Linked DNA regions of Oryctolagus cuniculus. The protein of the gene in region 2 interacts with the protein of the main gene of each other region in a biochemical or structural test. Links are inferred from orthologs where the notes say so. Each region holds a gene or a part of one and is shown on either strand. Other genes may lie near its edges. The genes, in order: FBLN1 and NID1.

What was found.
Region 1: the proteins of NID1 (region 2) and FBLN1 form a complex in vitro, tested with the Homo sapiens proteins (3 studies listed by BioGRID). The link is inferred for Oryctolagus cuniculus from reciprocal best matches to the Homo sapiens genes NID1 and FBLN1.

Annotation. Positions count from the first base shown.
Region 1 is NC_091442.1:120,185,653-120,195,473, forward strand, and holds the start of FBLN1 (fibulin-1), read left to right. Parts: upstream 1-3,464; 5' UTR 3,465-4,047; coding exon 4,048-4,126; intron 4,127-9,821. UniProt on the Homo sapiens protein: Incorporated into fibronectin-containing matrix fibers. May play a role in cell adhesion and migration along protein fibers within the extracellular matrix (ECM).
Region 2 is NC_091444.1:55,266,056-55,275,611, reverse strand, and holds the end of NID1 (nidogen-1), read left to right. Parts: intron 1-1,383; coding exon 1,384-1,507; intron 1,508-2,130; coding exon 2,131-2,243; intron 2,244-3,132; coding exon 3,133-3,254; 3' UTR 3,255-5,269; downstream 5,270-9,556. UniProt on the Homo sapiens protein: Sulfated glycoprotein widely distributed in basement membranes and tightly associated with laminin. Also binds to collagen IV and perlecan. It probably has a role in cell-extracellular matrix interactions.

The DNA.
Region 1 (9,821 bases), on a different chromosome or scaffold from region 2:
CACCTTGTCTCTCCCCTGATGCGACGGTGCCCTGTCCAGGGGGTCAAGAAACAGGAACCACACACGTGATCATAATCTGACTTTGGCTTTGGTTGCCAAGAACCCGGGGTCCAGTTCAGCTGCGGGGACCACGTCCTGCCAGGTTTCTCACACTCTGATTTCTCCTGTCTCAATCTTTCCCTAAAAAAAAAACCAAATTTTCACAGTCAAGCGTCCAGTTTCGTTTAGTTTCCTTTCGCTCTTTCGCTCCACAAACACAGCTTTTACGTAGCTGCATTCTGCTCACACTCGACTTTTTCTGTTTTTTTTTTTTTTTCATAATATTACATAATATTAGCTCATAAATACCATGTTTCTACTTAGGTATTCTTTTTGCCTTTTTTTTTTTTTTTTGAAGATTTATTTGAGAGGCAAAGTTACAGACAGAGAGAAGGAGAGACAGAGAGAATCTTCCATCTGCTGGTTCACGCCTCAAATGCCCACAACAGCCTGGGCTGAGCCAGGCCAAAGCCAGGAGCCAGGAGCTTCTTCTGGGTCTCCCGTGTGGGTGCAGGGGCCCAGGTACTTGGACCCTCTTCCACTGCTTTCCCAGACGGTGGCAGAGAGCTGGATCGGAAGTGGAGCAGCCGGGACTAGAGCCAGCCAGCGCTGCAGACAGAGGCTTAGCCTACCGCACCACAGTGCCGGCCCTTCTTCTCTGCCTTTTCGATAGGGACATACTCTCCATCAGGTCACTGAATACCAGTTTAATGGAAGCCAATGGCACAGACTGTAAATGGGCTGCTGTCGGACACCGCACTTTTCCCAGATTTTCACTGTCGTAAATAATTCTGCTGTTGCAAAAATAAATGAGAAGTTACGAAAGAGGCACAGCGTGGCTAACATGCGTACATAGAACGTTCCGCCACTGCTGAGAACACACTGGGAAAGCGGACAGTGGCGGAAGGGCCCGGGCCGCCAAGGATGCATCGGGGCGGCTGCACATTCGCCATCCTCTGGGTGCCGCCAGGGCTCCTGCACGGCTTCGGGGCCAGAAGAGCAGATTCGGGCGAGCTGGGAGCATGCGTGATTTATGCCTGTGCCAAAGTCAAACAATGTCCCAGCAGGGGAGGGTAGCCGAGTGGCCGTGCGTCCACGCATGTGTGTGCGACCTCAGGTCCTCACCGGACAAAGAGCTGCCTGTGACGTCCAGAGAAACAGACCCTTCCACACAAGCGGCCCAGGGACGAGCCAGGGTGGGAAACCCGGTGGCCAGGCTGCCAATCTCCAGCGCTGAGGCTCCTGGGTCAGGGACCTGGCACTTGGTTACTCCTGGACACCAGCACCAGGTGCCCCTGTCTCCCAAGAGCCCCCGGAGCGGGGGACAGGACACATGAGGGTGTCTACACACGCGAGGGGCTGCATTACCCAGGACTTTCATTGCTTCGTTTTGTTTTTAAGATTTATTTACTCATTTGAAAGTCAGGGCGACAGAGATGGGAAGGCAGGGAGGAGACGGGGGGGAGGGGATCTTCTATCTGCTGATTCATTCTCCATAGTTGGGCCAGGCCAAAGCCAGGAGCCAGGAACTCCATCCTGGCCTCCTATGGGGGTGTCAGGGGCCCAAGTTCTTGGGCCAGCATCCACTGCCTTCCGAGGCACGTTAGCAGGGAGCTGGACCTGCAGCAGCACGGCCACGACTCAACCAGCACTCAGATAGGGGACGCCAGTGTCACAGCAGCCACGTCACAGCCCCCAGCCCCCGAGGCTTCCGTCTAAGCACAGGCAGGAAGGACGGACAGGGCGCTGACGTCCAGCGCCCAGGGTGGTCGCCTCTGGGTGTAGCTCGGTGGGAAGAGCCTCAGGTTCCTGACTTTCCCGTAACTCCGAGTGTGCCTGGGGGAAGGAGGCCTCGAATGAGCCGGGCCGGGGTCTGGGGAGGTATCCGGGCACCCCGTTCATTGTGCAGACAGGGAAACTGAGGCCACAAAGATTCGTCCTACAGAGCAAGGCGGGGCCAGGGCTGCTCCCCTCCTCCGGCCCTGAGGGTGCCCCGCTTTTACCTCCACCAGCCCCAGCGGCTGCCAGCGAGGTCAGTGGGTGGTGACCCCTCCACAGGAGTCATCTTGGATTCTCACAGTCACAGAGGCCCCATCGCTGGCCACCTTAGAGGATGCCAACCGGCCACACAGCAGGAAGTGGCACAGCCTGGACGGGAACCAGGTGGGTGGGCTCGACCTCAGAGTCTGACTCTTCCCCACTCTCTCAGATGTGCCCATGGGTGCCCGTGTTCCCGACCCTTGGTGGCCGAGGGACAGGGACATCTGGTGGGGCTGTGGGTGGTGAGTGCGGGACCAGTGGCTGGGTCCCGCCCTTCTCAGCTGCAGGCTGGCGCGCGGGGAGTCAGTCCCCAGGGCTGTGCTGGTGCCATCTTCGCACTCAAATGCAGGCATGAGTGGCAGGCACCTCAGCTACTCCGTTTCCTTCCCCCGATGTCTTCTCAGCTACCCACGGCGGATGCTCCCTCCCCAGCCTCACAAAGGGACCCTGCAGATGACCAGTGTCACCTGCTGCAGCCCCCATGGCCCCTGGCAGGCGTGGCCTCGTGGCCAGGGGGTCACCTGGGCAGCGCCGGGCAGTCATTGGACCCCTCTGGGTTATCCGTCTCTGGATCTCCTCCTGTCTTCTTTCTCAGTCACCTCCCCCTCCCCTCATACCAAGTTAAGACCCCAAAGTACTAACGCATTTCCACTCTGTGCAGCCCAGGGCCCTGGCTCCCCACAGCACGGGCTGTGTGCGCCCAGGTACCCCAGGCCACCCCTGCTCAGGACGCACGGCTCGTCTTCCTGAGCTGCCTGGGGCCTCTGAGCCTCTGCAGGGGCCGATCCCTGGGCCCTTCACCCCTTTCCACCCCTTTCCCCACAAGGGCCAGTCCCAGAGGCCTCTCTCACAAGCTGTCCTGGGCTCCCGGCAAACCTCAGACCTCCGAGGCACCCTGTGTGGAAGAGATGTGGGTTTTGATTGGAACCCAACGCTCACTTGGGAAAGAGCACACGGAAACAGCTCGGTGCACCCGACCTCGGAACCACGCCCCAGTGAAATCACCGGAAAGTGCCCTCAGCCTCCCTCCAGCCCCGGGGGCCACCCCAGGAGCACCCTCTCCCGCCCTCTGACCTGTTCCTGTCCCATATGGAAGGGGATCCTGCAGCCAATGCCCTGGTGGCTGGCCCGGGACGGCGCCTGCTCCAGGGGTCACGGGGCTCCACACGTGTGCGCACTCTGCCGGGAAGCCTTGGTGGATGTCGGCTGTAACCAAAGCCGTGCACTTCTGCTAGGCAGAAACCCGTGAGGGGAGGTGCTGGCTCCTGGGACCCAGTCCACGAAGTGGCTGTGGTCTCACCCCTCGCTCCCACCTTCACCTGCCCCAGGGCCCGCCTCCCCCACCCCACCCCCATTTGAAAAAATAAATCTGCTTGTGATCCCAACAGACCAGCCCACCCTCAGTCACCCCGGCCCAGCTGCAGCCCCGATTCCAGCACGAAGCGGGTGCTGCAGGCCCAGCCAAGGCTGCCTCCTCGGCTTCCCGGGTCCAAGCGTGCCCGGCTCATTCTGCCGCCTGGCCGGCTGGCAGCGCCCCAGACCCCGGGGCCGGCGGCGAAGGCCGGAACGGAGCAGAAGGGGTGGGGTGCGGGGCTCGTCCGCGGGAGCCCCGAGCGGGCTGCACCCTCGGCCGCGCTCCAAAGGCGCCGAGTCCGATCCCGAGCCCGCGCCCGGCCCGCGGGGGCCGAGGGGATCGGGTTTCACGCGCGCGGAGGGGGGCGGGTGGAGGCGCATCCGGCCCGAAGGCGCCCCCGTCTCTGCCCCTCCAGGGAAGCCCGGGGCCCGGAGCGGGAGAGGGGAGGGTCCCGCCGGCCCCGCCTCCGCCGCGCCCTCCTCCCGGGCGGGATAATTGAACGGCGCGCCCGGGCCCGGCGTTGGCTGCCGAGCCTCGGCCCGAGCGTGGAGCGCGCGCCGCACGCCGCGCCCGCCGAGCCAGGAGCCGCCCGCGCCTTTGTCCCTGCCGGCCCCATGGAGCGCGCCGCGCCGTCGCGCCGGCTCCCGCTGCCGCTGCTGCTGCTCGGCGGCCTCTCGCTGCTGGCGGCCCGAGGTAGGGCGTCCCCGCCACCGCCCCGCGCCGGGGGGTAGTCGTGGAGAGGCCGGGGTCGGGCCGGTGCGCTCCCCGGGACCGTCGTCGTGCGGTCCCCTGAGCAGCGGGGCTGCCCAGACCCGGGCGACGTCTCCGGGCCTCCCCCAACTCCCGGCCCAGCCCGAATGCCGGCCTGTCTGGGGGGGTTGCTTCCAAGGCGGGACCCCTCCCACGCCCGCGCTCCGGCCTCAGCCCCCGCAGATGGAGCCGGCTCCGAGGGCCCTTCCCGGGCCTTGGCGATGGGGGCGCTGGCTGCGGGTTACCGAGCCCCCCGCCTTGCACTGGGAGCCTCCTTAGTGTGTCTTTCAGTGCCCCAGCTTGCGAATGGGGAACGGACCCCGGTGGGGAGCCGTCGGGTAAGGGGGTTGGGGGAGGCTGCAGACCCGGGCCCTCCTCTCTGCCTGCCCTCCTGCCCACCAGGCCCCACGCTTCGCTAGGACTTGGCTTAGGCGGCTTCCAGACCTACCCACTGTGTGACAAGGGGGGGATGGAGCCCCCTGCAGCAGGTCCCGGCCCAGAATTCCCTCCCCAGCCCCCCAGGCTGACAGCATGGGGTTGGTGGCCACCCAGGCTGCGCCCTTCTGGCTCCTGGGTTCAGAGGTCCGGTGGATCAGAGCCGCTTGGGGGGCGGGGGAGCCATGACCTGCGACCTCTCTGCTGACCCCATGGCTTCCTGGGGCCGGCAGTCAGGCCTGGCCCTGCTGGAGTGTTTGTTTCTCCCCAGGGCCAGGGCAGCTTCTTTATGCCTTGTTTAGTTTCTTTTGAAGTCGCTAGTGTTCACAGGCCTCCTTGGTCGGAAGGTCGCGGCTGAGGAGGGGGCTGGGCTGTGGCGGCGGCCTCTGGGGCTGATAGCTGTTCTGGGCGCTGGCTGTGTCCTGGGCCACTTCTCCAGCTTGGAGGTGGCTTGGGGAGGCACAGGGCTCCCAGGAGGCCTCTTGGGCAGGCCTGCAGGTGGTCCGGCAGGAGAGACCTCCCAAAGGGGCTTGGGAGTGGGGGGCACCCGGAGAGGAAGGGGGCGTCCAGAGAGAAGGCTGAGTTCAACTCTCAGGGGACTTGGAGACCCCAAGCCCCTCCCCTCCCCCACATTCTTTTGTGCCTGATAACTTTGTCCCTGTGCTTTGAAGGAGCACCGTAAGGGCATACAAAGTGTCCTCCATGAAGTCTGGGTGGTCCCATGGTCCTGTGTTTGGGGAGCACCCTCTTGGAGTTTGTTTGCGCGGTCTGGTCTGGGGAGAGGGGGTTAAAAGACAGCCTGGCTGCTCTCCGCTGCTGCAGGCCGGGCCGGGCGCCTGGCAGCCAAGGCCCCTGCAGCCCTGCAGGGTCGTAGGTGGCACAGCCCTGCACCCTGGAGAGCTGCGGGGTACACAGGGAAACCACACTTTGACCGCAGCCGTGAAGGCGAGCCGATGGAGAGCGCCGGAGCCACTGTGCTGACAGGCCCTTGGCGAGGGCCACCTGGCCACTGGCGGGCCGCGGGGCACGGCGGAGCCGCCTGTCTGTCCTCTGTCTGTCTGCCCTGTTGGGCTTTACCCAGAGCTGGGGCGGGAGGCGGGGGCGGGGAGGAGCAGGGGTCGGGCGGACGAGTGTGTTTTCTCCAAGACTTTCTTGGCCTCTGGTTTCGACTGATTAAAAGAAAAGTCGCGCCGGGAGGGAGAACAAAGGCTAGAGAGAACTTGGCTTACAAACATGTGGCCTGGGCCGCTGCCCTTCTGGAAGGTTCCCAGCTGGGAGGTGGGGCCCAGAGCTCTGAACGCTTGAAGGACCAGACTGGGGGGCACCAGGGAGGGCTCCCCTGCTGGGCCCAGGGCTGATGGCCCCCTCCCCCAGCACAGCTGCCTTTGCCTCCCCCAAGGACTGGTGGGAGGGAGCTGGGGATGAGGGGGCAGCTCAGGCTCAGGTCCCAGCAGGGTGCCATGAGTGGGTGCGCCAGCCTCATCCACAGTGGTCTGGTGGTTTTCTCCATGGCCTGGTGGGGGCGGCCACACCTCCCGGTAGGACGGAGGGAGAGCGCTCGGAGCTGGAGCTGTCTGCTGCGTGCACAGGGTCCCCTCTCCCAGGGCCGGGACAGAGCCAGCGTCCCGGACTCAGCTGCAAATCCCAATACTGGGCTTCCCCAGCCGGACGCTTCCTGGGAAGGAGACCGCAGAGCCAGCAGCTTCCGAGTGCCAGTCTCGGGTTGGCACCGGTCCTGCCACCCGGTCCTGCTGAGTGGTGTCTTTGGGCCTTCGGTCATTGGTTTGCTCAGCGTCGGCTCTGGGTCTTGGGGAGACCCAGCTCTGCCACCCCGTGCCGCTCGGGCTCCCAGATGAACCAGAAAAAGGAGCCCAGCCCTCCTGGCAGAGTCTGGAAGGACTTCCTGGAGGAGGTAGATGCACCCCGGGGCCTCAAGGAGGAGAGGCATGGGCAGGGACTCCAGGAGGCGTAGCCCCTCCCCACGGCTGGGAAAGACCCCTGCCCGCCCGGTACTCCCCGAAGGCCAGCCTCTTAGCCGTGGGCACGGTGGGCAGGGCAGCGTTACAGGTCAAGTGTTATGAAAACAGCTCTAACAGACACCTCAGAGTTTTGCCAGTGGATTTTGTACAATAAAAGGCTTTCCTTTTGCAAAATATAAAACTGTAGCAATTTGATTAATAGATGCTCTTGCAGTCCCCGGATGGCGCCAGTTTCTAGGCGATGATTTCAGATGTGGCCACACAGCAGATCCGGGGTGGAGGAGGAGGACAGGAGCCTGTTGTGGACTGGCCTGGGATCAGAGGCTGGGAGCCTGCTGAGGTCGTCTGCCCCAAGTCCGCCACATCCGGGAGCGGATAGGGCTGGCCGCCCCCACCCGCCCTTAATCCTTGGGTTCTAACTCCAGGGTGGGTCAGGAGGGTGGGGTACCTGCTGCTCCAGCTGCGCGCTGGAGGGTCCTGCTTTGTGGGGACCGGCATTCGGTGGGGCTGTTTAGGAGACCGGTGCCCCGGTGCCAGCTCTGGAAGCTCTTTGCCCGGCTCCCGTGACCCTCTGCGTCCATTTCCTTTGTGTGAGTTGAGGGCGGCTTTGCTCTGGGCGACTCTCCTAGCTGGACTGCTTCACGTTTAGTCTCCAATGGATCCTCCCCACAGCCCTGCTACCTCAGAGGTCCAGTACTTTTCCTTTTGGGTCTCGTCCCCGGCTGGAGTGAGACTAGATGTGCACTTTGCTACCCAGTGGCTACTGGCTGTGGCCTGTGGCTTCCCTCCGGATGCACTGGGTGCTGCTCCTGTGAGCTACTGGGGTGGGAGCGGAAACCCCGCACCTGTCGCTTTGCACCTGCGCCCCACCTGTGCTGCCTCCCTGCGCCCTGAAGGCAACCCTGGAGGGAGGCACTGCCCTTACCTGTATATATTTAAAGATTTATTTATTTATTTGAAAGGCCGAGTTGTACAGAGGCAGAGGCAGAGAGACAGAGGTCTTACCGAACCACTGGATCACTCCCCACAACAGCTGGAGCTGAGCCGATCTGAAGCCAGGAGCCAGGAGCTTCTTCCGGGTCTCCCATGCCGGTGCAGGGGCCCAGGGACTTGGGCCATCTTCTACTGTTTTCCCAGGCCATAGCAGAGAGCTGGATTGGAAGAGGAGCAGCCAGGACTTGAACCGGCACCCATAGGGGATGCCGGCACTGCAGGTGGTGGCTTTACCCACTAAGCCACAACACCAGCCCCTCTGGAGTTTAATAACAGGCAGGGGTGTGAACTCTTAAGCCAGGGTTGGATCTGAAGCTCCTCTGGTTTGGTGCTGTGGCCTCTGGGGAGTTGCTGCTGCTGTCTGCCCCTAATTGAGCACACGATTTCATTTGCTCATTCATTCATTCACACACAGTGATCGACGGCTCAGGGGCAGACATGGGCAGGGTGCAGGAGACAGAGCCCATCCCAGCCCTCGTGGCGCCAACTAGAGTTAATTATTTGTGTGCAATTCAGGGAACAAAGGAATCGGCTCTGTCGTGTGTGTGTGTGTGTGTGTGTGTGTGTGTGTGTGTTGGGGGGTGGTCAGGGAGGACCTCTTGGAGAAGGCGAGCTTTGCACCGGTGTGGTGGTCTGAGGACAGGAGCTGGCCAGGGACTACCTGGCCTGCCCAGCGCTGTCATCGAAGGCCAGGCATGGAGGGTGCAGGTGCAGTGGCCAGAGGGAAGCTGCAGAGGTGTCAGGGTGAGGGCAGCCTGTGAGTGCACTGCCTGGGGGGGAGCCAGATGCTTCCCCCCTCCCCCCAGACGTGCCTAGTGCCTCCCTCTGCGCCAGACCCCCAGACCCCCGTCTCTGTGATGGACGCTGGGAGCGCTCTCAGGACTGGTGCCTGGGGGCGTGTGAGCTCCTGGGGAGGCTGGCAGGCTGGGGGCGGCGTGGAGCGGGGGTCCGTTCACCTCCTGGGCCTGCACGGATGCAGAGGCACTGGGACGACCACGCTGGGCCCCTTCTGGCTTCCCAGGCCCGGGTAGGGCGGCCTGAGTCTTGCCCAGTCCCGTCTCATTGGCGTTTCCTGTCCGGCTCTGTGGCTGGTGAGGAGCTGCCCTTCAGGCCTCACCGTCCATGGGTCCTGGGCGGGGTGGGGGTGTTTCTTTCCAGGAGGGGGGTGGGGGCTGTGGGCCGCGCGCATCACATCAGGTGCGCTGACTCTGCGGGAAGGAATGCCCTGGCCCTGACGTGAGGACTTCTCCGATTTTGAAGATTCCGTTTTTCTCTGCTGATTCCAGCATTTTCCCTGGCTGACCTCATTCGTCTTCCCAGCCCCGCGGCAGGCACTGTTAGCACCTGCACTGTGCAGGTGGAGACAGAGGGAGGCTCGGAGAAGTCCCGTGGGCGCCGAGCCGGAGCCAGGCTCGAGGCCGGGCCGTCTGCCTGAGTGTGGCCTCGGGTTTGTGCCGAGTTTTATGCTTGTGGATTGTGCCACAGACCGACGTGGGTGATTGCGGTTTCTTCCCAAAACAGATCAGCCCTGGACCCCACTTTCTTCCTCTCTTTTTTTTTTTTTTTTTGCAGATTTATTTATTTATTTGAAAGGCAGAGAGGCAGAGGCAGAAAGAGAGAGGTCTTCCATCCGCTGGTTCACTCCCCAGATGGCCACAATGGCCGGAGCTGAGCCCATCTGAAGCCAGGAGCTTCTTCCAGGTCTTCCACGTGGGTGGAAGGACTTGGGCCATCTTCCACTGCCGGGAAGTGGAGCAGCCGGGACTCGAACCAGCGCCCATATAGGATGCCAGCTCTGCAGGTGGCAGCTTTATCCACTATGTCATAGCACCACCTGCCCCCCCTTTTAATTAGATTTATTTGAAAGGCAGAGTTACAAAGAAGCAGAGGCGAGAGAGGCCCCACTTTCTTAACAGCACCTGCAGGCCAGTGCCAGGGGTGCTGGGTGGGCCTGGGTGGGGGCTTGGGCGGGTTCCTTTCCAGCTGTGGGTTGAATTCCCTAAGCATTCGTAGTCGGCACCTGGAGGATGGGCATGGCTTCCCTGACATCCTGTGGCCTCTGGGCCAGGATGTGGAGTTGCAGGGTGTCCTGGATAAACCCCGCTGACTGTACCTGCGGGGCATCTCACCGCTGTCCACGCCACGACCTGTGTGAGGGCTGCTCTGCTCGGGCGCTGGGGTGTGTGGGCGACCGGTGCCCCTCCACGGGTACTGCCGGCCACCGAGTGACT
Region 2 (9,556 bases):
TGGCAGACTACAGCCTTGGCCAAATCTAACCTGCCACTTACTGTCATGTAACCCAGAAGTTTTATGGGTTTTGCATTTCAAAATGTTACATTTTGTTTTATTTGTTTTTAAAAAATTTATTTATTTATTTGAAAGTCAGAGTTCCACAGAGGGAGAAGGAGAGAGGTCTTCCATCCACTGGTTCACTCCCCAATGGGTCACAACGGCTGGAGCTGTGCAAATCCGAACCCAGGAGCCTCCTCTGGGTCTTCCCATGTGGATGCAGGGGCCCAAGTAGTCAGGCCATCTTCTGCTGCTTTCCCAGGCCATAGCAGAGAGCTGGATTGGAAGTGGAGCAGCCGGGTCTCAAACCGGCACCCATATAGGGTGCCAGTACTGCAGGCAGCAGCTTCACCTGCTACACCACAGTGCCAGCCCCAAAATGTTACATTTTAAGTTGTTGTATAAATACCTGCCTACTGTTCCTGGTTTTGCCTCACAGCCAAAGCTGTCTGACTCCTGTTCTAAGTGGTACCACACAGACCTGTAGACATCCTGATATCTGTTAAGCAATTCACAGCTTACATTTTTCATAGCTCTCTCTGTCCCCCAGAAGCTTAGGCAGGACTTGGAGCCAAGAAAGATAAAGTAAGAGCACCCACAAGCAGTCCCTGCTGTATGCCCCTTCCCTGGCAACTGTGGGGTGTCCCTCAGGCCAGGGATGTGGGCAGAATGCTCAGTCAGGGAGGAACATCTATCTTCTCTCTCCGTAGGAGTCTCTATTGAGTAATATCTGTTCCAGACACTCTGTCAGGTGCCACGTGGGATGCAGAGGCTGTGAGGCACAGTCCCCATCCTGTTAGGACAGAGTGAGGCATGAGCACTTCAGTGAAATCACGGGCCTTAAGATGCAGTCATCATGCAGGCCTTTGATGGAAGCCGGGTGCAGCTGCTCACCAGTGCTGTGGGTTAGCAATCCTTAAAGGCTCTGAATTCATAGAGCAGGAGGGGCTGGAGAAGCTTCAGGAAGGAGGAACTTGGACAAGAGCTGGAAGATGATGTATTTCCTCCCGAGAGAAAGGAGCCTGGGGGTAGGAGCAGACCTAGGCACCAGCTGCTTCCAGACCAGCTGACCTGAGTTGCATTTTCTCTGCCCCAGCCCCCGACTCCCCAGCAGAAGCAGGTGTGGGAGCCAGAGTGGCAGTGGGTATCGATCGTTGAAAGGGGCAAGGCACAGGAGCGAGAGACAGCTCTCCAGTTTTAAGACCAGGCTGCATGTATTCTCTAGGATTTGTCACTGTAATACCAAATTTCTCCCGCCTCTGCCCCTGGCACCCTCCAGTTGTGACACAAAGGGCCCACTTCTGGTGCGAACAATGAGGGACTTGTCTTTGCTGCACACAGGCACCAACCGGGCAGAGTGCCTGCACCCCAGTCAGCCAAGCAGACGCAAGGTCCTCGAAGGGCTCCAGTATCCTTTTGCTGTGACGAGCTACGGGAAGAATCTGTTCTACACAGACTGGAAGACGTAAGTTGGCTGCTGCTGAGGCTGGGCGGGCCTGTACTCCACTCTGTCTCTGGGAAGCCAGGCCCTTTCCTCTGGCCCCTTGTCTTGACCTTGACACGAAGAGATGTCCTTTCTTCCTCACCCTTGGGCTGTCAGGATGCAGGTGGGGGTGGAGGAGAAGGGAAGCAGGAGGTGCCCCTTGTCATCTGGATGCTCCTGGCAGGGCAGTTTCAAGTCTGTGAACTTGGACTTCCTGAGCACGTCTGTCCCTTCCCCCCATGTCCACTCATGCCTGTTTATGGTTCTTAAACCGCAATGTTCCCACAGCCCCTTGTTGACCACCCTTTCTGCAAAAGGAGGGGTGAAACTGAGGAGGCAGCTGGCCAAGGGCTCTGAAGAGAAAGCCCGTTTCCTGCCTGGAATTTAGAGAGGGAGGAGACAGCTGGCTGACCATCACCTTTCTTTAGGAAGCCAGAGAAATGCAGGCCTGATGCACCCCAGGAGGGAGGGATGTCTCAGGAGCAAGGCCACCATATCTGCTTATGGCCTCCAGTTTATACCCAAAACTGCAAAAAAGTCACTCCCTGGAGAAAGGTTCAAACCATCAGATGTACTTCTGAGCTCCTGACTTTTGTGCTCTGTAGGAATTCTGTGGTGGCTGTCGATCTGGCTGTTTCCAAAGAGACGGATTCCTTCCACCCCCACAAGCAGACCCGGCTGTATGGCATCACCACGGCCCTGTCTCAGTGTCCCCAAGGTAACTCGCCTGTACTGTTACTCCCCATACTCCTGGGGGCAACCTGATGATATAGAGTCCATGCTGTGGCTGCTGCCGGTATAACTGCTAGCCATCCTGTCTCTCAAGGATCTTCATTACTGAGTACATGAGCCAGGTGAATACATAGAACACACCCAGGCCTGAAGTAGACAGAGATAAAGTACTGAGTCTTGGACTGGGTCTAGAAGTATACAGTCTTCAGGTTCCAAATGGAACATTAATGTTCAGATCTCTGCTGATTTAAAGTCCATATATTTGGCCAAACAGTGATAACAATAACTAATAAAAATAATTTCAAGTATATGTTTGGCATTTACTGAGAGCTAGTAAGTTGGCATAGATCAACTCGCTTTGTATTCGTAGTTCATTTCATCCTCACAGCAGCCCTATGAGGTGGGCACTGCTGTGCTCATTTTATAAATGAGGAAATGGAAACAAGTTCAAAGTCGCACCTCTCATGGTGCCAGCCTGGCTCCAGAGTCCATACCATGCTGCCTCTCAAAGGCCTCTCCGCTTCTCTACTTTTCTCCTTCTCCCCGTTAGAGTGAAACCAGGAGTGTAAGTAGATAGAAAGTGCTCTATGCTTTAAGAGTCTGCCTCCATGTTCTAATGAGAGCTGGAGAACCCTCCCTGAGATCTGTTTTATAGCTTTAGTGGTAAGTTTGTATAGCCCCCAAATTGAGAATCAGCGTTTTTGCCTGTCTGGTTTAACAAACAACGGATTAGCTTAGCTGTTCTCTGTTCCCCTGGAATGGGCCACAATTTTGGCCTCTCAGAAAATGAAGTAAGGTTAATACGGTGTCCTGTCTCTCAGTGGCTGTTGAGTCAGGTCAGAGAAGGCTGTTGAACTGATTTCTGCCTTTTGCAGGCCACAACTACTGCTCTGTGAACAACGGCGGCTGCACTCACCTCTGCTTGGCCACTCCAGGTAGCAGGACCTGCCGTTGTCCTGACAACACCATGGGAGTGGACTGTATTGAGCGGAAATGAAGACAAGACTGCCGTGTTTCCTCTCCAAGTATTTCACAGGAGCATCCTACTTGAATCTACTTGGTCCAGACTGAAAAACTGTCCTCTGCCTGAGTGACCACTAGGTTCAGGCCCATCCCAGCCTGAGCCCCAACAACTTTCCCCCCACTATTCCCCACAACATACACTTCTTTAATGGGAAAGTTTCTCCCCCTGTATGAGGACAGAATTCCCACCCTGGCCCAACTCCAGATAAGCTTATACAAGCCTGGGTGATGATTACCTACCCCATCCCAGTTCCCTGGACCTTTCCCAAAACCTAGTCTCTCTCCCAGTGGTGAGTAGAACCAGCCAAGGCCTAAGTCATCCCCCTCTTTGTGGCCTTAAAAGCTCAGCCTCATTCTGAGGTACCTACCATCCTATCAGCTGCTTAACACACCAGCCTGGGTCTGCCTAGGTGAGGTTGTGAGTGAAGGAGGGAGTTAGCCCTCCCTTACTTTTTCTCTTGGTGCTCTGATTTCCCTCTTTATATTCCCATTTTTTTATTCCCTAGTTCCTCATCACCTTCATTCCAAGGCCCTCATTGTAATGACCATGTTCTGCCTTTTGATGAGAAATTACCCATCCTAGAGGATATATGGGTACTTTGTGGATGATAATGAGCATCCTTTTCCAGATGAGGTATTGGCATTTCAGTAGTAGCCTTTGATACTCAAAGGCTTAAGTCAAAGGAGTATCCTATGATAGGAATTTCAAAGTGTAGAGTCAGATGTTTGAGGATGAGGAATTATTTTGATGTGCCTTAAATTATACCAGAGATTACCAAAGTCATCCTGTTTTCCCAAAGCTCCTGTATTCCAGCATGTGGTCTCTGGTGCTGTGTTGGTCTTCACCTTCATTGCTAGCACTGAAGTCCACTCTCCTCATGGAGATTTGTCTGAGGTCTGAGACAGACACAGTTTAGAGCTGGTACAAGGTGATGACTTAACCAGTTCATCAGTTTTTGTCTTTGCTCCAGAGAACCAATTTATAAATAACCATGAATCTGCTTATCCTTTTGTTCTCCATCTTTGAACTTTAGTGGCTAAATGTGCATCTAAAGACACAGTATAGGAAGAGCAAATTGAATAATTATCTTAATGGTCCAGACTCTTTATTGCTCGTTTGTCTAATTAAAGGGACCACTGCTACATTTCATATTTATGTTTTTACAATTTGTTTAGAGAACCTCTTCCATTAGTAGCTAGTGTTGTCTTTTGTCAACTGCTTCCCAGAGTCCTAAAGCAATAGAAATTTTGGACTGAAAGTTGAGCATAAGGTGTTTGAGTCAATAAAGGATGGGATAAGGGAGTACAGAAGACTCAAAGTGTCATGAAGAGATTATCCAAGAGCAGGAATGGAAAGCCCAAGAGAAATGGGTGAGGGGAGGGGATTTATGAATGGCAATTAAAAAAAAACCTTAAATAACTACACAGAGAAAATAACACATTTTGCCAAAGAACACTTATACTTGAGAACATAGAAAAAATTTTCCTGAAATTCTCCTTGGACAAGAGATCCCTCCCCATTTCTTCAAATCCCAGTGTACTCAATGCCTCCACCTACATACCCTCCTACCATTGTCCTCACTTGCTTGTGCAGCACATTGGAAACTAAGTTGGGAGAAAGTGTTTCCTTAAATGATTGGAGTTTGTCTTCAGAGTCAATTTTGTCCCCAACAATCATAAGCTTTGGGGAACATCTGAGTCTTTTATATAGTGCAACCTCATAAATTACTCTTTCTTCTTGTATTTATCATTCCATATCAAGCCTTCTGTATCAAATGTTCATCATGATTTTATAAGTTTTATAACTATTTTATTCACTTTACTAGATTCATTCTAAAAGTTTTTAAATGGTAAATTCCTAAACTGTGGAAACCTCTGAAGGTGCTTAATAACTGTTGCCCCAGATTTATACAAATATTTGATGATTCCTTGAGTTTATCACCATACAAATACTTGTACATGAAATAAAAAAAACTTTTGTTAAAAAAATCTTTATCTTTTTTGAGTTAAGAGATTTGATGTTGATAGGGTAATTCATGGCAGACATACAGCCAGGGTCCAGTGTTGTGGCACAGTAGGTTAAGAGGCCACCTGCAGTGCCAACATCCCATATGGGTGCTGGTTTGAGTCCCAGCTGCTCCACCTCTGATCCATCTACCTGCTAATGTGCCTGGGAAAGCAATGGAAGATGGCCCAATTATTTGGACCCCTGCCACTCACATAGAAAACCCAGATGGAATTCCAAGCTCTTGACTTCAGCTGGGGTGGCCATTTCAGGATTGAACCAGCTGATGGGAAATCCTTCTTTCTGTAACTCTTCGTTTCAAATATGTAAGTAAATCCTTTTTTTAAAAGCCATTTAATAGGCTTCAAAAACCTAAAGATTCAGAAAGTCTTACTCCACTGTTATAACAGGTGATATATTTTGTGAACACAAGTTTACAAAAGATTTACGGGATTGTAATTGACTTAAAATTAATGATGTCACAGATACCAAACCACCCTTTTGGACATTGCATTCATTTTTTTTTTTTTTTGGAAAAATGTATTCTAGTTACAAGCAATACAGAGGTTCCAAATTCAGCTCTTAAGATGAGCTATGGAGCCGGCGCCGTGGCTCAATAGGCTAATCCTCCGCCTTGCGGCGCCGGCACACCGGGTTCTAGTCCTGGTTGGGGCGCCGGATTCTGTCCTGGTTGCCCCTCTTCCAGGCCAGCTCTCTGCTATGGCCAGGGAGTGCAGTGGAGGATGGCCCAGGTGCTTGGGCCCTGCACCCCATGGGAGACCAGGAAAAGCACCTGGATCCTGGCTCCTGCCATCGGATCAGCGCGGTGCGCCGGCTGCAGCGGCGGCCATTGGAGGGTGAACCAACGGCAAAGGAAGACCTTTCTCTCTCTGTCTCTCTCTCTCACTGTCCACTCTGCCTGTCAAAAATTAAAAAAAAAAAAAAAAATAAATAAATAAAGAAAGAAAAAAGAAAGATGAGCTATGTATTTTATCCCCCTCCTCACTTTTGACCATCAAGTGAGACCATTGATAGGCATCACCATCCATGCCAGTCCATGAGTGGGATGAGAATGGCAACTGACTTGGACAGAGCGGAAGGAGCTTGAAGTTGTAGGAACGAGGCGCCCAGAGCTCAGTTGTAACAGAAGGAAACTGGTACTTCGGCTTCCCCGTGAAAGATGCAATTGACAGAATCAGCATGCAGCCTGCCAGTATGAGTTGGGTGGAAGGGAAAATTTTTATTGGGACTAAAATTCCCAGAGTTCTGGTCAAAAAAATCTAGGTACCTAAAGATGACATCAGGAAAGATGGTGGAGTAGGAAGTGCCAAGAATCAAACCCTTTATCCAAATAGCGATTGAACTGACAGGGGCTGACTGAGCCAGCTATTTTGGAAGTCTGGTTTTAGCAGACCCATTGCAGCACCAGCAGAGAGCTTAGAAGAAGCTAGTAAGCCTGAGTCAATTTTAGTACTTTTTTTTTTTTTTTTTGACAGAGTGGACAGAGAGAGAGAGAAAGGTCTTCCTTTGCCCTTGGTTCACCCTCCAATGGCCACCGTGGCTGGCGCGGTGCGGCCGGCGCACCACGCTGATCTGATGACAGGAGCCAGGTACTTATCCTGGTCTCCCATGGGGTGCAGGGCCCAAGCACTTGGGCCATCCTCCACTGCACTCCCAGGCCACAGCAGAGAGCTGGCCTGGAAGAGGGGCAACCAGGACAGAATCCGGCGCCCCGACCGGGACTAGAACCCGGTGTGCCAGTGCTGCAAGGTGGAGGATTAGCCTGTTGAGCCGCGGCACCGGCAATTTTAGTTCTTTCTTATAAGTGGCTACTATGCCCCATCAGGCAGCCACATTCCTGGTGTGCCTTGCTGGAGCCAGAGTGGATAGTCAGACTTTGTTCTCCAAAACTCAGATTTATTGGTCTGATTACCAGTTGCTGCTTTTGATCGTTGATGGGCCAGCACATAATAAAATCTTCATGACACTGGATTTAGCAATGATTTCTTGGGAATAATACCAATAGCACAAGCAATAGAAGAAAAATAGGTAAATAGGACTTAAAAAGATTTGTGCATCAAAGGATACTATCAACAGAATAAAAAGACAACAATTTGGAGAAAATACCTTCAAATCTTACATCTCTTATGACATCCAGAATATTCAAAGAACTCCCTCCTGCCACTTAACAACAAGCCATTCCAAAATAAGTAAAGCGTGGGCACTCTGGCATAAGTGGTAAGCTGCCACCTGCAATGCTGGCATCCTATATGGGTGCCAGTTCCAGTCTCAGCTGCTCTACTTCCAATCCAGCTCTTTGCCATGGCCTGGGAAAGCAGTAGAGGATGGCCCAAGTCCTTGGGCCCCTGCACCCACGTGTGAGACCCAGAAGAAGCTTCTGGCTCCTGGCTTTGGATCAGCGCAGCTCTGGCTGTTGTGGCCATCTGGGTATGAAGCAGTGGATGGAAGACCTCTCTCTCTACCTCTGCCTCTCTGTAACTCTGCCTTTCAAGTAAATAAATAAATTTTTTTAAAAAAATAAGTGATTAGAATAAATGTATTTCCAAAGGAGAATTACAAATGGACATTTAGGCATAAGAAAGATGCTCAATATCATTAGTCATTACAGAAATGCTAATCAAAACCACAACTTGATATTACTTCACACCCTTTCGAATGGCTATTATCAAAAACAAGTGTTTAGGAGGATGTGGAGAAATTGGAACCCTTGTTCATTGCTATTTGAAATGCAAAATGGGGCAGACCCTGTGGAAAACAGTTCAGTGGTTCCACAAAAAACTGAATATAGAATTGCCATATGTTCCAGCAGTTCTACTCCTAGGTATCTACCTGTCGCTCCCCTATTCACGGAGGAATGACACAGGACCCTGCGCTGTTCTTTTGTCTGCTCGGCCCTTCCCGGGTTTGCTGCTGGTCCTTCCCGGGTTGGCTGCCGACACCTCCACCCCCGTGGAGGGACGGCTCCCCCTGCCACTTTCCCCGCTTCCGCGGAGAAGCGGCACACCGTCGGCTGGCTCTCTCGGGGGCTGCTCAGCTGTCCCTTCAGATGTTCCCCGGTGCTTGTTGTCTCTCTCCTCCTTTATAGTCCTCTTCCACCACACGCCGAGCACGCTGCTCTCCTCCAATCAGGAGCAGGATCAGCTCCTGCAGCTTGTCAAACTGATGAGGCAGCTGCATAGAAGTTGTTTGGTCTCTTTCTCTCAGCGCCATATTGTGGGAGAGCAGATGCATAGAATAAGTCTTAATTCCAGTAACTTAGTCTAGTCTCAGTTGCTCCCCACATCTACCCAAAAGAATTAAAAGCAGGGGCTGAAACTTACGTGCCAGTATTCTTTGCAGGATTGCTTACCCCAGCCAAAAGGTAGAAACAACCCAAATGTCTATCAACAGATGAATGGATAAAAAAATGAAATGTGGTATATCTATAAAATAGAATGTTATCCAACCATAAAGGGGATGAACTTTGAAGACATGCTACATGATGTAAGCCAGACACAAATATGACATGATTTCACTCCTAAGGTAGCTGTACCTCAAATTCATTGAGACAAAGTAAATTAGAGCTTAGGATATGGGAGGGGGGGATGGGGAGTTATTTCTCAGAGGTTACAGAATTTTTAATTGGGGTAGTGAAAAGATTATAGAAATAGATAGTGGTGATGGTTGCACAACATTGTAAATGTTATTAATTCCACTGAATTACTTAAAATGTCAAACTTATGTTATATGTGTGTGTATATTCTACAATTTAAAAATAATGTAATAGGCCAAAAACATTGTATATTCACCTTAAATAGTGAATTGTCTGGCGTGTGAATTATATCTCAAGTGTTTCGTTAAAATCACAGTAGTTAAAAGCAAAAAACCCTGGTTATCCAAGATTGACACGTTGTTGATCATTGTTGTAGCTGGCTGATTCACTAAAGATGTCAAGATTCTAATTCAGGTACTGCTGTGAAGAAACTTTGCAGAACAATTTAAGATTAATTTGTTAACTTTAATAACAGGAAAATTGTCCTGGATTATCCAAGCATGCCCTTAAAAACAGATGAGCAAAGAGGAAGAGTCACAGAGATAAGGCAAAAATAGAAACCAAGCAAGATGAGGATGAGGGGGTCCCAGGGCCTGCACCTGCCCATGCTGGCTTTGAAGATGGAGAAGAGCAGTCTTGAGCCAAGGAATAAGGTAACTTCCAGAGACTAACCTCCTGGCTGAAAAGCAGCAAACGGGGACTTCAGTCCTATGACCGC